Notamacropus eugenii: one gene and its partners. The protein of the gene in region 2 purifies or fractionates together with the protein of the main gene of each other region. This does not show direct contact. Links are inferred from orthologs where the notes say so. Each region holds a gene or a part of one and is shown on either strand. Other genes may lie near its edges.

What was found.
Region 1: the proteins of HNRNPU (region 2) and DAP3 purify together in Homo sapiens (affinity purification with mass spectrometry; 3 studies listed by BioGRID and IntAct, with this or other methods). This does not show direct contact. The link is inferred for Notamacropus eugenii from reciprocal best matches to the Homo sapiens genes HNRNPU and DAP3.
Region 3: the proteins of HNRNPU (region 2) and HNRNPA3 fractionate together in Homo sapiens (co-fractionation; 3 studies listed by BioGRID, with this or other methods). This does not show direct contact. The link is inferred for Notamacropus eugenii from reciprocal best matches to the Homo sapiens genes HNRNPU and HNRNPA3.

What each region holds. Positions count from the first base shown.
Region 1 is NC_092873.1:379,741,278-379,748,371, reverse strand, and holds the start of DAP3 (small ribosomal subunit protein mS29), read right to left. Parts: upstream 3,011-7,094; 5' UTR 2,888-3,010; exon of another isoform or gene 2,885-2,887; intron 2,408-2,884; exon of another isoform or gene 2,284-2,407; intron 2,106-2,283; exon of another isoform or gene 1,896-2,105; intron 1,735-1,895; exon of another isoform or gene 1,331-1,734; intron 1-1,330. UniProt on the Homo sapiens protein: As a component of the mitochondrial small ribosomal subunit, it plays a role in the translation of mitochondrial mRNAs. Involved in mediating interferon-gamma-induced cell death. Displays GTPase activity in vitro.
Region 2 is NC_092873.1:406,028,352-406,035,330, forward strand, and holds the start of HNRNPU (heterogeneous nuclear ribonucleoprotein U), read right to left. Parts: upstream 3,021-6,979; 5' UTR 2,788-3,020; coding exon 2,058-2,787; intron 966-2,057; coding exon 854-965; intron 772-853; coding exon 698-771; intron 1-697. UniProt on the Homo sapiens protein: DNA- and RNA-binding protein involved in several cellular processes such as nuclear chromatin organization, telomere-length regulation, transcription, mRNA alternative splicing and stability, Xist-mediated transcriptional silencing and mitotic cell progression.
Region 3 is NC_092876.1:240,104,596-240,111,842, reverse strand, and holds the start of HNRNPA3 (heterogeneous nuclear ribonucleoprotein A3), read right to left. Parts: upstream 3,011-7,247; 5' UTR 2,833-3,010; coding exon 2,761-2,832; intron 405-2,760; coding exon 282-404; intron 181-281; coding exon 34-180; intron 1-33. UniProt on the Homo sapiens protein: Plays a role in cytoplasmic trafficking of RNA. Binds to the cis-acting response element, A2RE. May be involved in pre-mRNA splicing.

The DNA of each region.
Region 1 (7,094 bases), about 26 Mb from region 2:
ATACTGTTATTATTCCCATTTTACAGATGGGGAAACTTAGTTCTCAAAGGTTAAGTACCTTGCCCAGAGTCACACAGCTAATAAGTGTCTGAGGCTGTACTTGAATTCAGGTCTTCCTGGTTCCAGGTCTAGTGTTCCATTCCCTGAGACACCTAGCTGCTGGTATCCAAGACATAAAAGCAACTCGATTCTAATTCACCAGACGTTAATAAGCAATTGTTTAGTGCAAGGCGCTGCGCTAGGGACTAAACAAAGACACAGAGAAAAGGAAAGTTCCTGCCCACCTAGAGATTACATTCATTTAAAGGGAGAGAGTGTCTGTCGAATTCTATCAAGTTTCCCTCCTTTCCCACCTCTAATTATGTATTCATAAAGGTCAAGTTCCAAGTTTAAGCCCCACTGCCTATTTGTCTCCAGGTTTGAAATCCCTCTTCTTTCCTTAAGGCACTTTTTGACCCCACCTCCCTCAGAAAGTGGTACCTCACTTCTCAAATTTCCTTTCCCCTTACAAAGTCTACACATTTTTTTTAAAAAAATAAGAAAACGGGAATTTGGGAAACATTTTTCCAGAATAGGCCCAATCTACCAAGTTTCTCAGGTGTGAGGTAGCCATTTTGTCAAATTATTCTACCTCTCTGGAAAGTCAAAGGACTATCAGCTGGTTACATATAAACAAACTTTAAATCTGGAAAAGGAAATGAACAGAAATTGTTGAGGACTATAGCCCTAATTTTATAGAATTAGATGGTCTATAACAGAAACAGTAAATTTTCTAAGTTTTTGGAAAAGACACTATGTTGGTTTTTTTTAAGTTTTATTTCATTTTTGAGGTAGTGTGTTACAGAGCAAAGGCTGGATTTGGAATCAGTAAGGAAAGACCTAGTGGTTAATGTTCGCCTCCCACACTTAAGCTGTGTGACAAGGAGTCACCTTAGGTCTTCAGCTCTCCTACTCGTAGGTATGATGGGAATACCGACAGTACCCATCTCCTCAAAGCGATGTAGGGAAAGAGCTTCGTAAATATCACAAGGCAATACAATCATCAGTAGTTACTATCTTTACATTCAAAGCTCAGAGCACGGGGCTAGCTCTTTATTAAAGCGCTTGTTGAACCAATAAGGGGAACACAAAGACAACAACTACACCCACAAATGATGTTAACAGAGGTAATACTACAAACAACCCCACAATGCTTACTTAAAGCCTATGAAAAGTCAGTGTGATCATATTAGTGGGTAGGAAGTTCAGCTCATTTAACCTACTTATTTTACAGATGAGGAAACTGAGGCCCAGAGAGAGAGAAGTAACCTCCTTAAGGTCACATACTTACGAAGTGGCTCTGCCTCCAGGAACCTTTCTACTACACCACGAGTTCTCACTCAAGTTTAAGAACACGGGTGCCACACACGCCACCCCCCGAAGGCAGATATGGGGCAGTTTTCCCGCCCACTTCTGCCCTAAGGAGGTACAAACAGAACCCGCAGGTCACTCGAGGGGGGGCCCGCCGCTGGAGCCCAGTCAGAACTGCTGCCCTCTCTGGCCGGCTTGTCCCGAGCCTCCCTCCCCCGCGCGCCTTTCCCCGAAATCACGAGTTGGGGGAGAGGCTGCACAGGGGCTGCAGACGTAACCAGAAACCCGAGGCTCCGTATATTCCGATTCCCCCGCCCAAAGCTCCGGGGCCGCGTCCCTAGCCCCTAGGCGCGGATCGAACACGCCACGGCCACGGGAACGCCTAGGCGCTTTCCCGCACCCGCCTCCCCTCGCGGCGCGGCGCCCTCCGTCGCGCCGCGCGCACGTCGGGGTCGGCTTCCGTTTCAACGCGCACCCAAGCCCTAAGCCCGGCCCTGGCCGGCCCCCTCGGGCTCAGCTCCCTGGCCCCAGCCCGAGTCACTCACCCGCGATCCCAGAGACAGCCAGGCTCGAGCCCTACTGCAGGAAGCTGCTCAGCGCGCAGCCGCCGCTGCCTCCAACCGCCCGCAGGCTAAGGGGGCGCGAGGACGTCCCTCGCTGGCTCACCAGGGCCCAGAAGGGCGTGTGATCAGGGTGACTACAGATGGCGCGACGGGGTTAAACTTTCTCTCCCTTCTTCCGGGTTGAGGACGTAGGTACGTGTTCCTTCGCGCCTCCCAAATTTTGTAGAACTGAGCCGAGGACAAATTCCTCCTGCTCTTCCCAGCCCCCTTTACCTACGCCCCTGCAGCCGACGGGAATGGAATAGTCCCGCTGTGGGGATTGTGGGAGGCGCACGCGCTGGGGGGAGGGGGAAAAGGAGGAGGAGGAGGAGGAGGAGGAGGAGGAGGAGGAGGAGGTGGAGGCGGCGGCCGCGGCGGTTGGTGGTGGTGGGGGCGGGGTGGGGGGAGGCTAGAAGAAGAGGCGGAGGCGGCGGCTACTGCTAGCACCGCCTGAGGTAAGCGTGTGGGTCCGCGCCAGAGCCGGCTTGACAGGGGAAAACGAGGAGTGGGGGACGCGCGAGAAGAAGTCCCTGAGCAAGCGAAGCGCGTGTGGGCAGGAGCGCGGGGCGACGGAAGCTAGTGGTTGGTGGGGAGCTGGTGAGCTAGGCAGAGCCGCGGGCGCGCGCGCGCTCGTCCGTCGGCCGGAGTTGGGCGGGGGGAGGAGCGGGGAAGGACGTGGGGGGAGAGCGCGAGGAGGGAGGAGTGGGAGGTGGGGGGGCGCGAGGCGCCCTTCGCTCCCTCCCTCCATCCCTCCCTCCCGAGGAGCTGCCGCCGCTGCCTCTCTGCCGCCGCCGCTCCCGCCGCCATTTTGGGTTCGTTTTGCAGAGGGGGAGACGATCCCCCTTCTCGGTTGCGGGCCCCGCCTCCCCTAAGCCTTCCCCCCCTGCCCCAGTCCGTTCCCCTCTCCCCCTTTTCCTTCCCGCCAGTCTGCTCACCCGCCTGCCGCCGCCTGACAAGCGGGAGGGATCCGCCGCGGACCCAGGGAAGCGGAGGAACCCCAAGGCGGCCGCCTACCCTCCCCAACTCTTTGCCCTCTCCTCATCTCATTCGTCCCCGGTCTCTGACACGGTGAGTGGAAGCCAGCCTGGGAGGCCTCCGAGCCTGCAGGCTACCCTCCCAGCGGCCAGGCCTCGGCCTCGGGGGAGCCACCGTCATCCCGGGTCCTGGACCTCTGGGAGAGGGTTGGCAGGGATGGGGGAGGGGAGGGGATCCTAGGCCGACCGGGAAGTCCCGCCGGGAGGGGGTCAAGGGGTGTTCCTGACAGGCCGGTTCCTGGGGGGGAGGGAAAGAGAGGGAGGGAGGAGAAGGAAGGGAGGGAGTAGAGGCGGAGTCGGGCGGATGTCCCTGACAGGTTGGTCTCAGTGCATTGGCATGATTGGGGGGATCCCTGAGACAGACTGGCCTGTGTCCGTTTAGGGAATGGAGTATCCTGGACGAGATTGGTGAGGGCGATGGGGGGTGGGGGCCGTGGAATTTTTGACAGAGGGATGTTCTGTGGTCCTTGTGTGAGGAATAAGGATGGGCTGGCCTACGTACACAATATTAGGTTTAGAGACTACGACTGGCTGGTCTGCGTGTTTGGAGATGTTAGGGATGACTTAGGAGACTCCTTTGGGGCTATGGACAGGTGATATTTATGTAAGTGCTGCAGGTACATTATCAGAATGGGAACCCTCTTCATGGCACATGTGTTTAATCGGGAATGGGGGTTCCAGAATTATCTGTATGTATTAGGGGTGCTGGGATTCTCAAAATAGATTGGTGTATATATTTAATAGCAGTTGGGATCTCCTTGACAGGTTGGTGTGGTAGGGATGAAAGATATTTCCTACTTACCAACCAGTTGATTATAGTTGAAGGAGGAATGAAAATATCTGATTAGTTTTTGTTTATGGAAGAGGTTCTTGGGATGATGAATTTTCCTTTTAGGACTAATATATACCCTTACATCATGGATAGATGTAATGAATATTTTTGATAGACTAGCCTGTAAGGGAAAATGGTAACTTGTGTGCTGACTTGGGTACATAGAATTCAGTTCAGTTGAAATACTTTTAAATTTGAATCATATTTATGCATGTTTTATGTCTAACTTTTCTTTTTCCTGGAAACAATCTGGTAAAGTAGGTAGGTTCTGCCCTTATTTTACAAATGAATATATTGAGTACTAAAAAGGGTTTAACTAAAGGCTTTCTGGCCACTCAGCAAGTTAGTTCTTGCTTTTCCAACACCTCATTTCTTGATTCCTATTTTGCTCCTCATACAAATGGGATAGTGGACCCTTATCAATATGATTTAATTTTACATAGGAAAAAAGTTAGAGTTATTTAGCTTGTATCTGAGAGCGTTCAAGAATATCTGTGATGTTACATGAATGTTAAAGGAATATAGGTTGTTTTTGTAAGACTGATCCATAAGTATTTAGAGAAAGCTATATGCTGTTTACCAAATTACTTTATGTTAATGGAGGAGGTGGTCAGGTTGTTTGTATGTATTTGAGTGAGGGAAATCCCTTACATTTTGGTCTGTGGACTGACCCAGACTGTGCTTTGTGTTGATGGGAAGAGGTATCATTGTTAGCTGGCCTATGATTATGGGAAGTGTGATTGGGTAAACCTGATGGAATAGGTTGTATTCATACTGCAAAATTACCTTGAGAGGAGGAAGTTGATCTACCATACAAAGTAGCCTGTGTAGAAATGAGACTAAGAAACTTTTTCCTTCAAAGTTTGTTCAGTATACCTGGAGAAAATTAATATCTTTAAGCCAAGAGGGCATAATAAGGATCTAGGAGAATTTCTTTAACAGAGTGAGTATGTGATACCAAATGTTTGTATGGTCCATGTGTATTGGGTTTAGGAGCCACTATCTAAACTGTGTTTAGGAGGTGGGCATTACCATTTTTAATACACCTAGGAGTTGGTACACTATATTTTCTAACAGGTGAGTGTGTACAATGCAAGCCCTCCCATAACTAAGTATAGAGGAGATTTCCTGAGCTGATGGGAAGTGCTTGTGGGAAGATGGGTGGTTTCTTGATTGGTTTGACCCTGACTTATATTTCATACATATATACATATTTTATATATATATATATGCAAGTATATATATATATATATACACATGAAATCTAAATTAACAAATGCAATGCCACCAAAACTTTTGTATAACACAAATGATATTCAAATGTTAAAAGGCAGCCTATGTACAGTGGAGAATATTTGTAACAAAGTTACATCCTCCCATCCTCAAGTCCTTATTACTTAATTGTTGTAGGGTTTGATGTATATGCTCAGGTGTTTTCTGTGCTTGTATTTAGAATGAGAGCAGATAAAGTAAGAGAAGATGGTGGTGTGATGTTTCTAAAAAGGTCAGAAGATTCTGTGACAATATTAGGGAGTTTTGATAGGACTGGTTAGGACTTGTTGAATCACATTTTATAAACTTGTCTTGTATTATGTGACCTTGGAAACAAGTGATATGGTAATTGTTTACCTGTGTCTGGCCTTGTTTTTACCTTGTTCCTTTTGGGGCAGCATGGCGGTGCAGTGGATAGGGCACCAGTGCAGGACTCAGGAGGACCTGAGGTCAAATCTCCCCTTAGACACTTGACACTCACTAGCTGTGTGATGTTGGGCAAGCCACTTAACCCCAACTGCCTCATCCTGGGTCATCTCCAGTCATCCTGATGAATATGTGGTCACTGGATTCAGATGGCTCTGAAGGAGAAGTGAGGCTGGTGACCTGCACAGCCCTCCCTCACTCAAAACAAAGTCAAGTGCAAGTCATGTCATCATTTCTCTGATGGCATGGTCTTCTTCGGCAATGAAGGATGAACACACCTTGTTCCTTTTAATTTTCTTTCTTTTTTTAAAAATTCATTTTATTTATTTTCAGTGTTCTACAATCACTGACATATAACTTAAATTATTATTATTCCCTCCCTCCCTCTTCCCCCTTCCCTGCCTGAGATGGCATACAATTTTATATAGGTTCTACACATATATTCCCATGAAATACATTTTCACTATAGTCATGCTGTGTGGAAGAAGTAAAATAAATGGGAGAAATCATATAACAAACCAAAACATAATACACACACACACACACACACACACACACACACAAAATGAAGTGCTACATTCTGCAATTGAATTCCATAGTTCTTTCTCTGGATGTGGAAGGCATTTTGCCTTAGAAGACCAATTGAGAATCTTTTTAAGTCCTTGCATTGCTACGAAAAACTCTTGCACACTGGTTTTTGCTATACACAAAGTTGTCCTGGTTCTGCTCCTTTTGCTCAGCATCAGATCATATAAGTCTTTCCAGGCCTCTCTGAAGTGTTCCTGTTCATCATTTCTTATAGCGCAATAGTATTCCATTACATTCATATACTATAATTTATTCAGCCATTCCCCAATTGATGGGCATCCCCTTGATTTCAAGTTTTTGGCCGCCATAAAGAGTGCTGCTACAAATGTTTTTGTACCTGTGAGACCTTTTCCCATTTTTGTGATCTCTTGGGGATATGTTCCTTTTAATTTTCAATGATTCCTCCCTCCTATCTCTCTATAGTGCTTCAGGTGAAAATGAGTAATTCTCATTCTTTGAATCTATTATGTGGATAATTTCAGGATTTGAAACCAGGAATTGTAAATGATTGTATGAATCTTTTAGAGGCTTTTAGTAGAAGAAGCTGGAAGTGAAATCATAATCCTGGAAGTTGTATATTCACAATATTCCCAGTTGCCTTTCCTTATTGTCTATAAAGTTTTTAGGTTGTACAAATAATTTTGTAGCTAAAAATGTTTTGGTAGCATCTGATGTTTTTGGTTAAATGTACCATCTGTTTTAAAACTGGTATAAACATTGGTGAGGGAGCACTTGTTAGTCCTATAAAAATTTTGATTGTCATGCTAAGTCCTTTTTCTCTAGGGAAGTCTATGTTATAGGTCTTAATGTCCTTTTGGATTTATATACCTATAGGAAACCCTTCATGTATCTCTGGGGTGAAATGTAGCAGCTGCTTGACAGCTGTACTGATTATCCATGAATTTGGAACAGGAAGTGTTAAAAAAACAACCACCACATTTTTTTATTTAAGGTGATAAATTCAGAAAGATATTGTAATAGCACAAATGA
Region 2 (6,979 bases):
CATTCGCTGCTGAAGAAAGCTAGTGGCCCAGAGATAGCCACTGCTGCTGCCCCAGGTCTTTGGAAGACACCAACTTATGTTAAAGCAGCAGCTACTGAACTGCAATTGAGAACAAAACAGCAGTTATTGAGAACATAATGTTACAGTTTAAATGTTAGAAAAAGGGAATATACTTGTGAACTAAAGGGAAAGTCATTAGTAAAGACAAATCTGGTAACTCCCAGTACCAAAAACTTCGAACAATGGGAAGTTCTAAATTCACTTAATGAAATTTTAAAAGTTTACAATAAATACTAGTCCCAATAAGGTCAATTACTAACTTCCCACCACTAATACTTATTACATTTTCTTACAAAACTCAAAAGACAACATGAGAATATATTTATAAATTACCTTTTCTATTCAAGAGTTAATCACCTAAATATTCCATACTTCAAGGGGGAAAAAAGCACCAAGTTGCTACAGGGTTGCCAAAGCAGAACATATGACTAAATTTTAAAATACCATTTTGTTTATACCTTACCTAGTCATTTCCATGAGGATTGTGGTAACCTTTATTTCAAAAGACTGGCATACAAGTTATTAATCAGATTATTTCTACACTTGCACAAGCTATTTTTCATAAATGCAAATTTCCTAAACATACTAGATTTTTGGTCCTATGCAAAATTAAGGAGATTGGAAGATATGCACTTACAAGTATCAAGACAAACCACTGTGTCATCAAAGTGTTCATCTTCCTCTTCAACCGGTGGCTGAGGAGATTTAGCTCTGAAAAAGAGAATTTGCCCCTGATGTAGCTTTCTTATTTGTGATTCATTGTGTAGTGAAATGATCAGATAAACTTCCCTACCTGCTGTACTTGTTTTCTTCAATGTACTCAAAATAGCCCCGGCCATGATCTTCACGAGGTCTTTTAACACCTCTCTTTTTGTCTCCACCTTTCTGCTCTGTTTTGCCATCTCCTACAAAGGTTAGGACATCTTTTTAAATTAAAAAAAAAAAGACGAACAAAAAAAAAAAAAACCCCCGCTGACCCGAAAACGAAGCCTATTCCACTTGCAACCTGCAAAGCTTAAAAAGCTTGCTATGTTAACCTGCCATTTTTTCCCGGTTTCAATAATCCTTTAATTGGCCAACCATTTACTATCCGAGGAAGAAGGAGGGCTAAGAAAGGAGTGCAGTTCGTGACGCAGCCCCGAGATAGCCCCGATCTCCTAGGCTGCTCGACGATTCCTGCGAGCGCCACATAGAATAGCGCGGAATAAGCAGAGCCCACGTGTATCCCAATGAGAGCAGAGCACGAAGGAGGAGGAGGGGCTCCGAGCCTTTTCCTCTCCCTTCCCTCCCCTCCCCCCACTCCGGCTGGGCCCGCGCTCCCCGCGGCCGCATTGTACGGATCGTCGTTCTAACTCTCCCCCGATTCCACCCCACCCCTACCCCCTCCCCGCCGGGACCGCCAACCGGAAGTGACGTCACGTCAGAGCCCCTGCACTCCTTGCACAATACGGTGGCAACGTGAGAGCTCGAGCCGCCACCGCGCGCCCGCCCCGGGACCTCGATCTCCAGCCCCCCCTCCCATCGTCCTCCCTTCTCCCTCCCCTCCCCCCAGTGCGGAGACATGTGCCCGCACCGCGCGCACGCAGCAGCGCCGAGCACGGGGGGGCCCTCTCCCGCCGCCAGCGGCCGCTCCTCCCCCTCCAGCGGCAGCTGCAGCTCCCCCTGGCTCTCGAGCCAGATAATGGTGGCGCCGCCGTCACACGCGCGCACACACATACACACACGCACACACACAGCCCGACACCTCACGGCTAATCTGGGATTCCCCCGCAACCGCCCCCCCATTTTCCCCTCCCCCATCCACGACTCCGGCCACTGGGAAAAGCAGCGACGCCCCCGCCCTTTCTTCGCCTTTCCCAAGCCCCCAGCCCCCTCTCGGGGGGGGACGGGTGGAGGCCCTGGGGCACGGTCCCCACCCCACCCCGGGCCCGCGGTTCTCCCCCGCTCCCGCCCCCCCACACTCCCAGCCACACACACATTCAGAAAACGCCACTCACCCGCCGCCGGAGCCCCGGGGCGGCCGCCGCCTCCGCCGCCTTCCGCCTTCTTCTTGCCTCCCGCCTGCTGCTGGGCCTGCCTGGCCGCCGAGGGAGGCGCCACCGTCACGGCGAAGAGCGAGGTGGGGCCGCCGCTCTTGCCCGCGGCCTCCTTGGCCGCCCCGCGCTGCTGCGGAGGCTGCTGGGGCTGCGGCGTGGCCGGCGGTTGGGACTGCTGCTCCCCGTGCCCGTTCTCGTCTCCCGCGCCCGCGTCCTCTTCCTCGTCCCCGAGTTCGTCCTCCCCTTCCTGGAAGCCCTGGTCGTCGCCGTTTTCGTCTTCCGAGGAGCCGCCCGCCTCCTCCTCCTCCATCGGGCCCGAATCGGCCGCCCCCGCGGCCCCGTTTTCTTCCCCTAGCTCCATCTGGTCGCCATCCAGGGCCGCGATCCCCTCCTCCTCCTCCTCTTCCTCCTCCTCCTCTTCCTCGTCGGCCGCGGTCGCGGCCTCCTGCTCGAGGCCTGCTCCCGAGGGCTGCGTGTGCGAGCGCCCGGCGGAATCCCCGCCCAGGTCCAGGCTGCCGTTCCCGGGCTCCAAGGTGGGGCGGCCTCCGGAGGCCTCCTCGTCGTCTAGCGCGGCCTGGAGCCGTTCCATGAGCTCGGCCTTGAGGCCCTTGTCAGAGAGGCGCCGCTTCTTGAGCTCCTCCTTCAGCTCCGACACCTTCAGCTTCTTCACGTTCACTGGCGAGGAACTCATCGTGAGGGCCCCAATTCACCGCTCGGCGCTGACTGCGACTCGGCTCCGCTCACACGGCCACTGGCGGCGGCTGCTGCGGCTGCTCCTCGGCCCCGGGCGGCGGCTGCGGCTGCGGCTGGAGTGGGGTTCGTGCTGCAGAGCGGACCCGCCTGGAGTCGAACGGCGCCAATTCCTTTCACCGAGTTCGCGAGGGAGACGCGGAGACTCGCCCGGCGCGAGCGAGCACGCAACGTCCTCTCGTCGGGGCGGCGTCGCGCACGTAATATACCCGCCCCTCCTCCTCCTCCCCTACGGTAGTTGCTGCGCAGTGGAAAAGCCCGCGCGGCGCGCTGCAGGCCCCCTCCTGCCTCCTTACCGTAGTTATCCCCCACACTACCTTTCGGGAGCGGAGCGCCAAAGGCCAGGGTGCCCTTCCCAGCGGCACCAGGCAAATGGAGGCCTGCGGAGTGCCCGGAAAGCAGCCCCTGCCCTTCCCCCCTGCCCGTGGCCTTTTCCTAGCCGAACTTCATGCATCGGTACTTTTCCTATTTTCTTCCCGTGCATCCTGCCTGTCACGAGCCACTGTACGTTTTGGGTTCGTGCCTAAATCATTTCTCCCGGTCCTTCCGGCCTAGGGCTGCCGTGGGACTTGCAGTGCCTTGTTTTTACTGAAGGGAGCCCCTCCGGGGCGGCCCGGGATCCTGCCCGCTCCAGTGTGTCTGACCTTGGAAGGTGTCTTGGCCATCACGCGGCGCAGGCCTCTGCTTAGCTGGCGTGCAGCTCCCATCTGGGGCGTTAGGCCTGGCCCGATCCCCTCTGGTTCTGCTTCTGGTCCGGTCGCAAGCTCCCTGCCCTGCCCTGCCCCTGGGAGACACAGTGCTTGTGGAGCTGCAGAGGGAGCCTGGCTTCCGGCATGAGGTCAGCCCCAGAACTGGACGATGGCTGGCCTTTTCGGGGTTTCTTGCCTGACGGGCCCCTAACACTGGCCTGTTGTACTCGGCGAACAGGCCCTAAATCCGTTCTCTGCGGATTAGGTGCTCTGTGAAGGCCGTCGGGCCGTGGCTTTTGTCCTGGAGGCTGGACCGTCCTAGTTCACAGACCCCTGCAGCAGGCCCGGCCTGCCCCTTCTTAAGAACCCAGGCGGAAGGCCCTTTGCCCTCCCCACCGTGAGCTTTCAGAACCAGCTGGCCGCTTCCCAGGCAGGTTTCATCACTGAACTCTGAATTTACGCCGTGTGCACCCTCCCTCCCTCCTGCAGATCGCAGCCCACCGTACCCTGTGTCCCTGATGCACTTCCCGCAGTCTCTGCCCACTCTCCTGGAGGAAGGCCTCCAGGCCTTTAACAGCCTCCGTTGGTGGGGCCCACCTCCTTTTAAAAAACATCCATTGCCTTGGGGATGGTCTGCAGCGCTTCTTGCCCTGCTGCTGGTGCCCATGGCCCGGCTCTCCTTTACCCTTTGGGGTCACCTGCAGCTTTGATTCTTTGGAAGCGCTTGTTCACAGGGAAATGGAAAGAGAAATAAAATATTGACCATTTGTGAAATGGCCTGAGCTTCATCAAGGTCACATTGTCTGAGTTACACGTGGAGAGGAACAGCCTGGATAATAAAAGCCCAAAGACATTTTTTTGAAACTCATTTTAGCCATTAATTTGCCTTTCTTTAATGGTTGCTAATAAGTGGTAAAACGGGAGTAGGAGCTCTTTTTGTTGTTGCGCTGCCTCTGATGGGGATCCTAGAAATAAGAGCAATGGAAGTAGAAAAAGGTCCCCACCTGAATAATCAGCCCTTGGAAAATCCAGATTTGGTTTGGAATACTTAGAACTGTCCTTAAATGTTATTCATGGTCTTAATATTGTTCAAAATAAAACAGTTCCTTACTATGTACTTGGAAAATATAAATTTAAAGCTTATATGCCTAACACATTAAATGCTTAACTGGAAAAACACTTAAAAATACAAATATTTCTTCAAAATGTGCATTGATAAGTGCTTAAAGACTAGAAATATTGAGGGAAAGAGGGCTTGTAAATATTCAAAGCATGAATATCTTTAAAGATTCCTTTTAATTAAGGAATCAGGGATGGAAATCATTCCTATAATCTATTTTGATTTTTGATCTGTGCTATACTATTTTTATGTATGTGTGTATACATATATATACATATACATATATGTACACATTTGCTTCTTTTTTTTCCAGCGGAAAGCAAAACAAATTCTTACTGCTACTTTTAATAGTACTGATGCTTCTGTGTATTATGGTCTTTGTGTGGAAGGAAACTGAGATTTAGTGAGAACAGTAGAGTTAAGTCAGAAGACCAGGTTTCTAAATCATAACGCTGCCATATCCTATGACTGACCTAGGCCAAGTCACTTTACCTTCAAATCTTGTTTCCTTGCCCATATAGTGAAGGTAATAACATCTACATTATCTTAGATAAACAAGATGAGCTACATATGTATGTATGTATGTATGTGTATATATGTATATATATAATATGTATGCATTTGACACATATACACACAAATTGGATTTAAGCTTATGCAAAATACAGATATTAAAGATAATATTTAAGAGTACGTGTACATATGTATATATGTGTGTCTATGTATACATTTATACCTCACACTTTTTAAGTACAATTCCTTCACTTTGCAGATAAGGAAACTGAGCCCATCACTCTTAACAGGTTTTTTAAAAAGTTAGGGCAATTCTGAGTCTCTTACCCCCTTGAGGTGCTAAGGTTAAGTGTCTTGCCCAAGGTTATACAGGTATTAAGTGTTGGAGACTGGATATAAGGAAACCTATTCCGACTACATTTTCTGGAAGACCTATTGTGTGGTAAAAGCAAAAGCTCAAATAAGTAAGAAGGGATGCAAAAAAAACTAGAATTGCCTACTCACTGAGATTCTAAAGCCTTTCAGAGACTTATGGGGGGGGGGGGCAGGGAAAGCAACTTAAAATTAAGTAATCAATAAGGAAATATTATTAGCATCACTTACAAGTGATATCTCTATAACAGATTATTAAAAAGAGCTGTTGTGAATCCCTTGCTAACCTGAGGTCAGTGCTAAGAAGACAATTATGTTTTCCCATTTGAATGCCTCTCATGCCAATATCAGAACGCAACACTGGATAGATGCAGCCATGGCATGTATCTCTTAAGTTCATTCAGTCTTTGTCCTTCCAGTGTAATACGGTATCACACATTATTTTAGCCAAATACCAGCAACTAACAATAAGAAATAAATTGAAACTATCCATCTCCAGTATTCACAATATGCTTCACCACAGACATAGGAAATTATGATTATCTTAAAGATAGCATGATTTCCAAGTTAATGTTTTAATATAACCCAAATCAAATGTGGTAGATTTTTAAAAACCTGGAATTGTACAGGGAAGTTTCAGCATGGCAATGTATTTGTGACTCAGTTTTACATAGTTGCCTAAAGCGTTAGGAGGTTAAGTGATTTGCCCTCAGTCTCACAGGCAAAGGTAGGATTTGAGCCAAGGTCTTTCTAATGGCCAAAATCAACCCTCTTTAGTTACTATACCATACTGTTTCATGAACCAGACATATAAGGAATTTTAAAAAGGAAATGTAAACTATTCAAGCAAAAAATCCTGACTATATTATATACAGAAATCATTTGTAAACCATTGTTAGTAGAACCCGAAGACTGTTACATGCAAATTAAAATAATTGTTATTCTTTTTCAAATTATTTTCTATAGAAACTCACTTCAAAAACCTCAACAACCATGACAAACGTAACTGCTCTGTCCACCATGGCATTCTGGGCTTCGATGCTATAGATCTGGGCTTTTTAAACTTCATAAAATGCCTTAATTTACATGAAACATGTATAGCACGATGGCTTACAAGTTTTAATATAAATGACACCTTTTTGAAAACACTTTAGTCTAATGGATGGTGTCAGGCTTTGATTCTCTCTTTCTATAATTAGGTTCAACTAGGTAAATTCTGTCTCTTTGGGAAAAGATGAAGTAGTATTAGTTTTTAACTGATTTACATGGTAAGCCGTTAATGTTACCATTTAATTTAAATTCAAGTAAATCTACCTGATTCTTAAAAGAGCATTTTAGTCAGTGATACTTCAAAAAATATTATAGATAACCTAGGATATCAAAGTACCTCTTCTACCTAAAAAAAATGCCCACCAGGAAAAAGCTGATAATATTCACCT
Region 3 (7,247 bases), on a different chromosome or scaffold from region 2:
GTTGGGTACACAACATATTAATCATAGGCATACCTCTCTAGAAACAGCTCTCTTTGGTTCCACTACACGCCCATCAACCTTATGTGGCCGAGCACACATTGCTGCATCTACCTCTTCTACACAAGAGTAAGTCACAAAGCCAAAGCCTCTGGAACGTTTTGTTTGGGGATCTCTCATCACCTAATAAAGCACATTTACATGTTACAATTTGTTACCCTAGACTATATAAGCAACTTTTTTTAACCCTCTTATATATATTTGTTTAAATTTCAACAACTTACCACACAATCTGTGAGAGTGCCCCATTTTTCAAAGTGTTCTCTTAAACTATCATCCGTAGTTTCAAAGCTCAAGCCACCAATAAACAGTTTTCTCAACTGCTCTGGTTCCTTTGGATCATGACCCTTAGAAAAATAAACAAATTTAGCAGTTCATAATTCTCACTTATCCTCATCAAATTTTTTGGATATTAGATCTTTTTCCTCACTTATCCTCATCAAATTTTTTGGATATTAGATCTTTAGAGGAACTATTACTACCACTAGTGAAGCAGGAAGTAGCAAAATAAGCTAGTGAATTTCTTAACAATTTCTTTCAGTACAGTTAAAGCAGTGTATAGTTACATGTTAGGAAACAAAGACTTGTGCAGTTTTTCCAGGTGATTTATTTTGTTAGGTGACAATTGGATAAGAATGGATGCTACAGAGTTGTATCTGAGATACTATGTGAATTATAGGAACCCTACAGCCTGCTTTTCAAATGTTAGCCTAGAATTATCACTTTTCTTCATCTGAAATCACATTTTGGACAAGGAAAACAAAAAGACTTCAGGGATAAATGAAAATCTAACCACAGACTTCCATTCACTTAACAAGTGTCTAGAAATACTTGCTACTAGGCCAAGTACAGGAAAGCATCTGGAACACTAATACAGCAAGGCCTTATTCTAGTCTCTCATCATTCTCTTCCTGAGTAGTGGAATCAGCAGCAGTTGTGAAAAAAATCATACTTTTCCCCAGATTCTACTGCTTTAAGAAAATTTCACACTACTGAAATGTGAACATATTTTATATAACAATTATAAGACATGATGTTTTGGAGAACATTCTGATTCGGTGACTTTGTACTTATAAACTGTCCAAATTCTACTTTTTAAATTCTGTACACTTTCAGGAAATTAGAGTCTTTGATAATTTTTTTCAATCTTTCAGCACAAAGTTAAATATTTGCTTCAGATAAACACTTCAGTTAATTGTAGTGTAATCTAAGTTCTAAACTGGCATTGCATGACCTTACAATTGCCCTCAGTTGTACCAGAGTCCTTTTTTTGTAACGTTTCCCTCCAAAAAACTCAATACATGGATGGGACCTATGTTAAAAAAAAAAAAAAATGCCACAATAGCGTTTTAAAAGTCACTTCCCAAATCCAGGAGCTGAATAAACGAATTTTATTTCCTAATGATGGCCAAATCAACACCCTAATAATCTGTCATTAACTAAAAGGTCCAAATTTTTTAAAGAGCAAAACTGTTATTGTAAGAAAACTAGCATTATCTTCACTTAAAAGAGAAATAAAGGCTTAAAATTCAATTGCCTTTTCATAATTGCATAACATCCAAAGCCTTGGACAATATAAAACGACTAAAAACTTTCGATTTTAAGTTTGATGTAGCCTATTCTCTCAATTTCAGTTACACGCAGTTTATTGAAGGGAAGTTAACCAAAATCGGCCGTGGGAGATTTAACGAGGGTTTCTGACACGCCAAGCCTTTCCCTGCAGACACCACACCACGATCCATCTTCCGTAGTCCTCCCCTTTCCTCCCATCTCACTGTTAAGTTACAGGGGGAAGTTTCCTTCGTCTACAAAAGTGGCTCGTCAATAGGTATCAGTCACACTTTCGTTACTTTTGGGGTCATAAAGATACTTTATGGGTAAACTAGAGGTGAAAAGCAGTTCCACTCCCCGCGCGGCCAGGACATCGGAGGAGAAAGGGGCAGGGAGCCGAAGGAAGCACGGTCCTCAGGCCCAGAAGCGTGGTGGCGGAGCCGCTGCGATGGCAGAAAGCAGCAAGCCTTTCGATTCCTTGCAGCAGCGCCTCCCCTCGCCGCCTCCTCTCCCCTTCCCCCTCCCTCCTCCCGCTCCCGCCAGCGCCCTCCCCGCCCCCAGCCCAGCCCAATCCCGCGCTCTCGCTAGGCAGCAGCAGCGGCGAAGCGGCGGCCATTGCGGGCCAATGCGCCATTTCACAGAGCCGAGGATCGATGTCAATGTGGCGGCGGCCGCCGCCCGCCCGCTCTCCCGGATGTGGTTGCCCGCCCCCTCCCTCCTTCCCCAGCCCCGCTCGGCTCTCCCCTCCCCCACCGTCTCTCCCCAACCGCTCGCTCGCTCTCTCCCTCCCTCCCGCCCGCCCGCCTGCCATGCCGCACTCCGCCTAAAATCAGGAGCCATCGCGGCCAGGCCCGCTCCGCCCCCGGACGGCGCCCCCACCGAGCCGCGGCTTTGCGGGGCAGCCTTCGAGGCGGAGGGAGGCGGGAGGCGGCTCAGGAGACAGGGGGGAGGAGGAGGCCGAGGAGGCGGCGGCGGGGGCCGAGGGCCCGACGGCTCCACCGCGGCCCGCTGCCTTCCCCTCCCCCCCCACCGCCGCCTCAGCGCAGAGCGCGGGACCGACCGACCGACCGAGCCCCCTCTGTACTCCCCCCGCCAAAGCCGGGGCACCCGCGCCGGCCACAGCCCAGCAACCCCCCGCTCTCCCCCTAATACCTCCTCCCCCCGGCGACGGCGACGGCGGCCGGAGTCGGGCTGGGGGCGGCCGGGCGGCTGTTTTACCTCCATTTTGAGACCGGACTCGCCGCCTCCAACTCGGGTTCAATATGGGACCGAGAGGAAGAGGCGGGGCCGGCCGTCACGTGACGCACTTTCCGCGCGCCGCCGGCGGCTGGTGGGAAGGCGGACGTGAGGGGGAGGGGCCGGGCGTGGGCGCTGAGGGAAACTGAGAGCGAGACGGACTGGGGGAAGTGGGGGTGGGGCGGAAGGCTCCGCGCTGGTCGAGGTAGCGCGCGCCGCCGCCCCTCTCTGTTCCCCCCCTTTCCAGGGAGCGCGCCTTCCATCCTCAGTCGTCTTCCTTTTTCCTCTTCCCTCTCCCGCATAGGCCTTCGGGACTAGAGCCTTTCCCGCCCTTTGCGCCCGGCTGGTAGAATGGAGGTGGAGCTCTGGCCTTCCTTTGGTGCTAGATCCGTGTGCAAAGAAACCGGCCTGCTCGACCGCTCCGTCTGGCCACCCTCGCCCCCTCCCGCCAGATCCCTCTGCGGATCCCTCGTTGGGTGGATTGTTAAAGCGGCTAATGAAAATCCTCCCCGTCTCCCCCCGCGCCGCTGCGCGCAGACCCAGGGGAAGGCTTTCTTTCCTGTTGCCTACGTTAGGAAGGTCTGGATGCAATTCACTCGAATACTGTCACTCAGCCTTTACTCTCCTTCCAAAGAATTCACGAGTTATTTTAATTTTTTTTTTTTTACAAATCAAGTACAGGCAGGGCCAATCAGCTTGTAACGAACGTCTGCAGATGTCCGAGAATCTGCCGTGCTGACGGTGAAAGCGCTGTTTCCTGGTGTACTTCAGAATTAAGTGTAGTGGCACAGCGCTCCGTCTACCATCTTGGGACAGGCCGGAGTGGTGCACACTCCGTGTGGTGACAGCCCGGAGGAGGCTTCCTTGTCCGAGCCGCTTTGGAGGGCCAAGGAGCGCTAGCCGCGGGAGGATTCCCAGCCAGGGTCCTTTGTAACAACGGCGATACAATTAGGTTTTTGTAGTCCTGCGTGGTTTTGTTTCACGCATTTAAAAGCGTTCAGAGAAGGCACGCAAGGTTTCGTCAGCACACAAAAGAGCCCCAGGTGCCCCAGGCCCCAGCGCAGCGCTCGGCCCGGAGTGCTGACCGTTGTACGCATGTGCGGGCGGATGGCCGGCGGGGGGCTTGCTGTCCTGAGGCTGTGGATGGCCGGTGAATGGGGCTGCTCACTAAGTGAGGCGGCCGGCTGCATTACACCGGAGAACTTTTGTTGGGCTGTTTCCGGACGTGCTTGACTTTCCGGGGCTCCATCTGGGGCTTCCTTTGCAGAGATGCCGGGGTGGTTGCCATTTCCTCCAGCTGAGGAAACTGAGGCACACAGGGGAAAGGGATTTGCCCGGAGTCTTCCCAGCCCAGGCCTGGCACCCCGGCACTCCTAGCAGCGGGCACCGCACCTAGCCACTCGGGGACACCGGGAGCGCTCACCTCCCAGGAGGGCTTGAGAGGCCGGCGGGGATAACCCAAGACCGTCTGGAATCTTTAAAGCGTGTGTACGTGTAGGCTGTTGTTACACAGGCCAGTTTACCGCTCACAAGCTTGTCCGCAGTCAGATAAACTGGCCCGGGTGCTGAGCTTCAGGGGTGCTGGGGGCCCCCAAACACTGACCCGCCGGGTCCTGCGCCAGTGAGCCAAAGAAGGACAAAGTTTACTAAAGATGGCCGTACTGGGCTGACTCCTAGGGAGCCTGGCCACTGGTGACGCTTGTGTTCACAAGCGGCCGGAGAGGGTCTCAGCCAGGCAGGGTCTGAGCGCCTTCATGGAGGCGAGGTGGAACTAAACACAGAAAAGACTGAGGGAAGCCTCCGGGCGTCACCAGGTAGTCTGGGGTCCTAGCCATGGGCTTGATGGGGCGCTAGGGGAATGTCCCCTGGCACCCTGGGGTGAATACAGGTGGACTAGGAGGATCCTGATGGGAGTGGCTGGTAATGGGATCAAAGGGTGGAGAACCAAAAGAGCGCTAAATAGGAGATGGGGAGTCTCGGACCTAAGAGAAATGCGGGGGGACTCCAAGGAGCCCCCTCTCCGCCAGGCCAGGCTTTCCAGGGCCCTTCAGACAAATGTGACCATAGGTCTCCCGATCCAAAGGGAAAAGGGCTTGGCTGGGGCTCGTACCCCTCAACAGGGACATGACCCGCTCAGTCTTCCAGGGAGACTCTAGGACTCCATGGTTAAAACTGGATAGCCTGTATTCTGCTGGCATAAATTTGGAGAACCCAGAGGCCCCTCCATGATGAGACTAGAGTTAGGACCCTTGTGGAGGATTGCAGATAGACAAATAGACAGAGGAAGCATTTCTATTAAGGGCTAAAACGGTGCCAGTTACTGAGATAAATTCTAGAAATACAAAGAGAAGAAAACAAGATGATCCCTCCTCTCAAGGGCCTGACCTTCTAACGATGGAGAACAAAACTCAAAGTCCTGGAAAGGGTGGAGGAGGGGGAGGAGAAAGAAGAGGAAGGGTCCATGCCAGGGCAAGGCTGCTGGTGAGGAGGCAGACCAGTCTGGACATCGAACTGAACCAGGAGGCAGGGGATCATGGCTGGGCTCCTCACTCTACTGTTGTAAAACATGAATCACCTCTATTTTCAAGTTTTAATAAACATGATTGGAGTACCATGATGTATGAGCATAGCTTGAGTAGGTGATAAAGTTCTCAATTGACATGGGACATGTTATGTAGGGTTTTAAGTTGGGGCAGCTAGGCTGTGAAGCAGATAGAGTGCCTGGCCTGAAGTCAGGAAGACTCATCTTCCTGAGTTCACATGTGACCTTATACACTTGATAGCTGTGTGACCCTGGGCAAGTCACTCAATCCTTTTTGTCTGTTTCCTCATGTTTAAAATGAACTGGAGAAGGAACTGGCAAACCACCTTACTGTCCTTGCCAAGAGAACCCCAGGTGGGGTCGTGAAAACTTGTACATGACTTAACAGAATTTTAAAGTCAGCGGAGTTGCATTTGATTTGAGTTCAGTGTGACCCAGGGCAAGTCATTTAACCTTTTTCAGCTCTTAGTTTCTTCATTTATAAAAGGCAGACTTATGTGATGATCCAATCCCTAGAGATTACTCTGATTGTCAAGAGGGAGAGGCCAGGGCTCTGATCTGGGGTACTTGTTCAGTCATTTATATCTCATCCAATATTCTTAATCAGTCACAATCAAAAGCTCACTCAGGTAATAAAGACTCTCTTAATAAACTCTCCCTGTGATAAGTACTTTGCATACTTTACAGCATTACATAAATGAATTATTTCTCATTATTTGCTTTTAGTCTCCCCTGGAACTTATAGCCCAGCAGGAGGTCTTTTAAAACTCCGATTTGCCCTACCTCTCAACTTATAAAACCAGTGAACCAAGAAGCGTAATCACAGTTTTGGTTTTTAGAGATCATCTAGTTGAATCCCTTAAATGGTGCCAGAATCCCTTTGCTGTGTTCAAGACAAATGTTCATCCAGCCTCATGTTGAACACTTCCCTTGTCCAGAAATTTGCTACTTCACAAGGCAGATCATTGGATATTTTTCTGCTACAAAGTTCTTAGTGTCCTCTGGGTTTACCTTACATACTGGGTGCTTAATTAAATGCTTATTTACTGATTGACTAGAACAGAGTAAAGCGGAATTATTTTGTCTTTATTTCTTTTTTTAATATACCTTTCTTAATACACCCTAAAATCACATTATCTCTTGAGGTTATAAAAGTAAGCTGTAGACTAAAAGTGAGCCTTTAGTCCATTAAAACCTCTATCTTTTCCCCCATCCTGGACTTCTGAATTTGATTTTTTGAAGCTGAGTTGAAGACTTCATGTTTGCCTCTGTTCAGTTTGATCTTATTACATTCAGCCTGGTATTCAAGCCTGTGAAACTTTTTTTTAAACCTCTGTTCTGTCAATCAATATATTAACTATCCCTCCCAAAATTTTATCAACCAATGATTCCAATTTGATAAATCATTTATCCAAGTCACTGATAAAAATAATAGGTAGCATAGGGCCAGACCCAGATCTCTGAAGATGGTCTTCCAAACTGATGTTGAACTATTAAGGACAATTCATTCATTTTGTCCTTTTCACTAGTTTCAGATTCACCAAATTGTACTGTCTAGCCCACAGATGATAACACATGTAAGTCATAAAAATCCTGTGTGAGGCCATCCTAGCACCATCATCAGCCACATTATTATAATTTAAAATGTAGTTGAGAAATATTTTTAAAATAAAAATGCAATAAAACATGTTAATATGTGGTTTTTTAAATCAATATGTGGACTGTAGTTTAATGGCCCCAGTTTATATTTGAGCTCAGCATCACTGTTCTGTCTCATGACTGTATTAGGAAGGAATGGCTCTCCTCTCTAGAAATACACAAAGAGTTATTTGGGTAGTAGAAATGCAAAGATAATGAACAG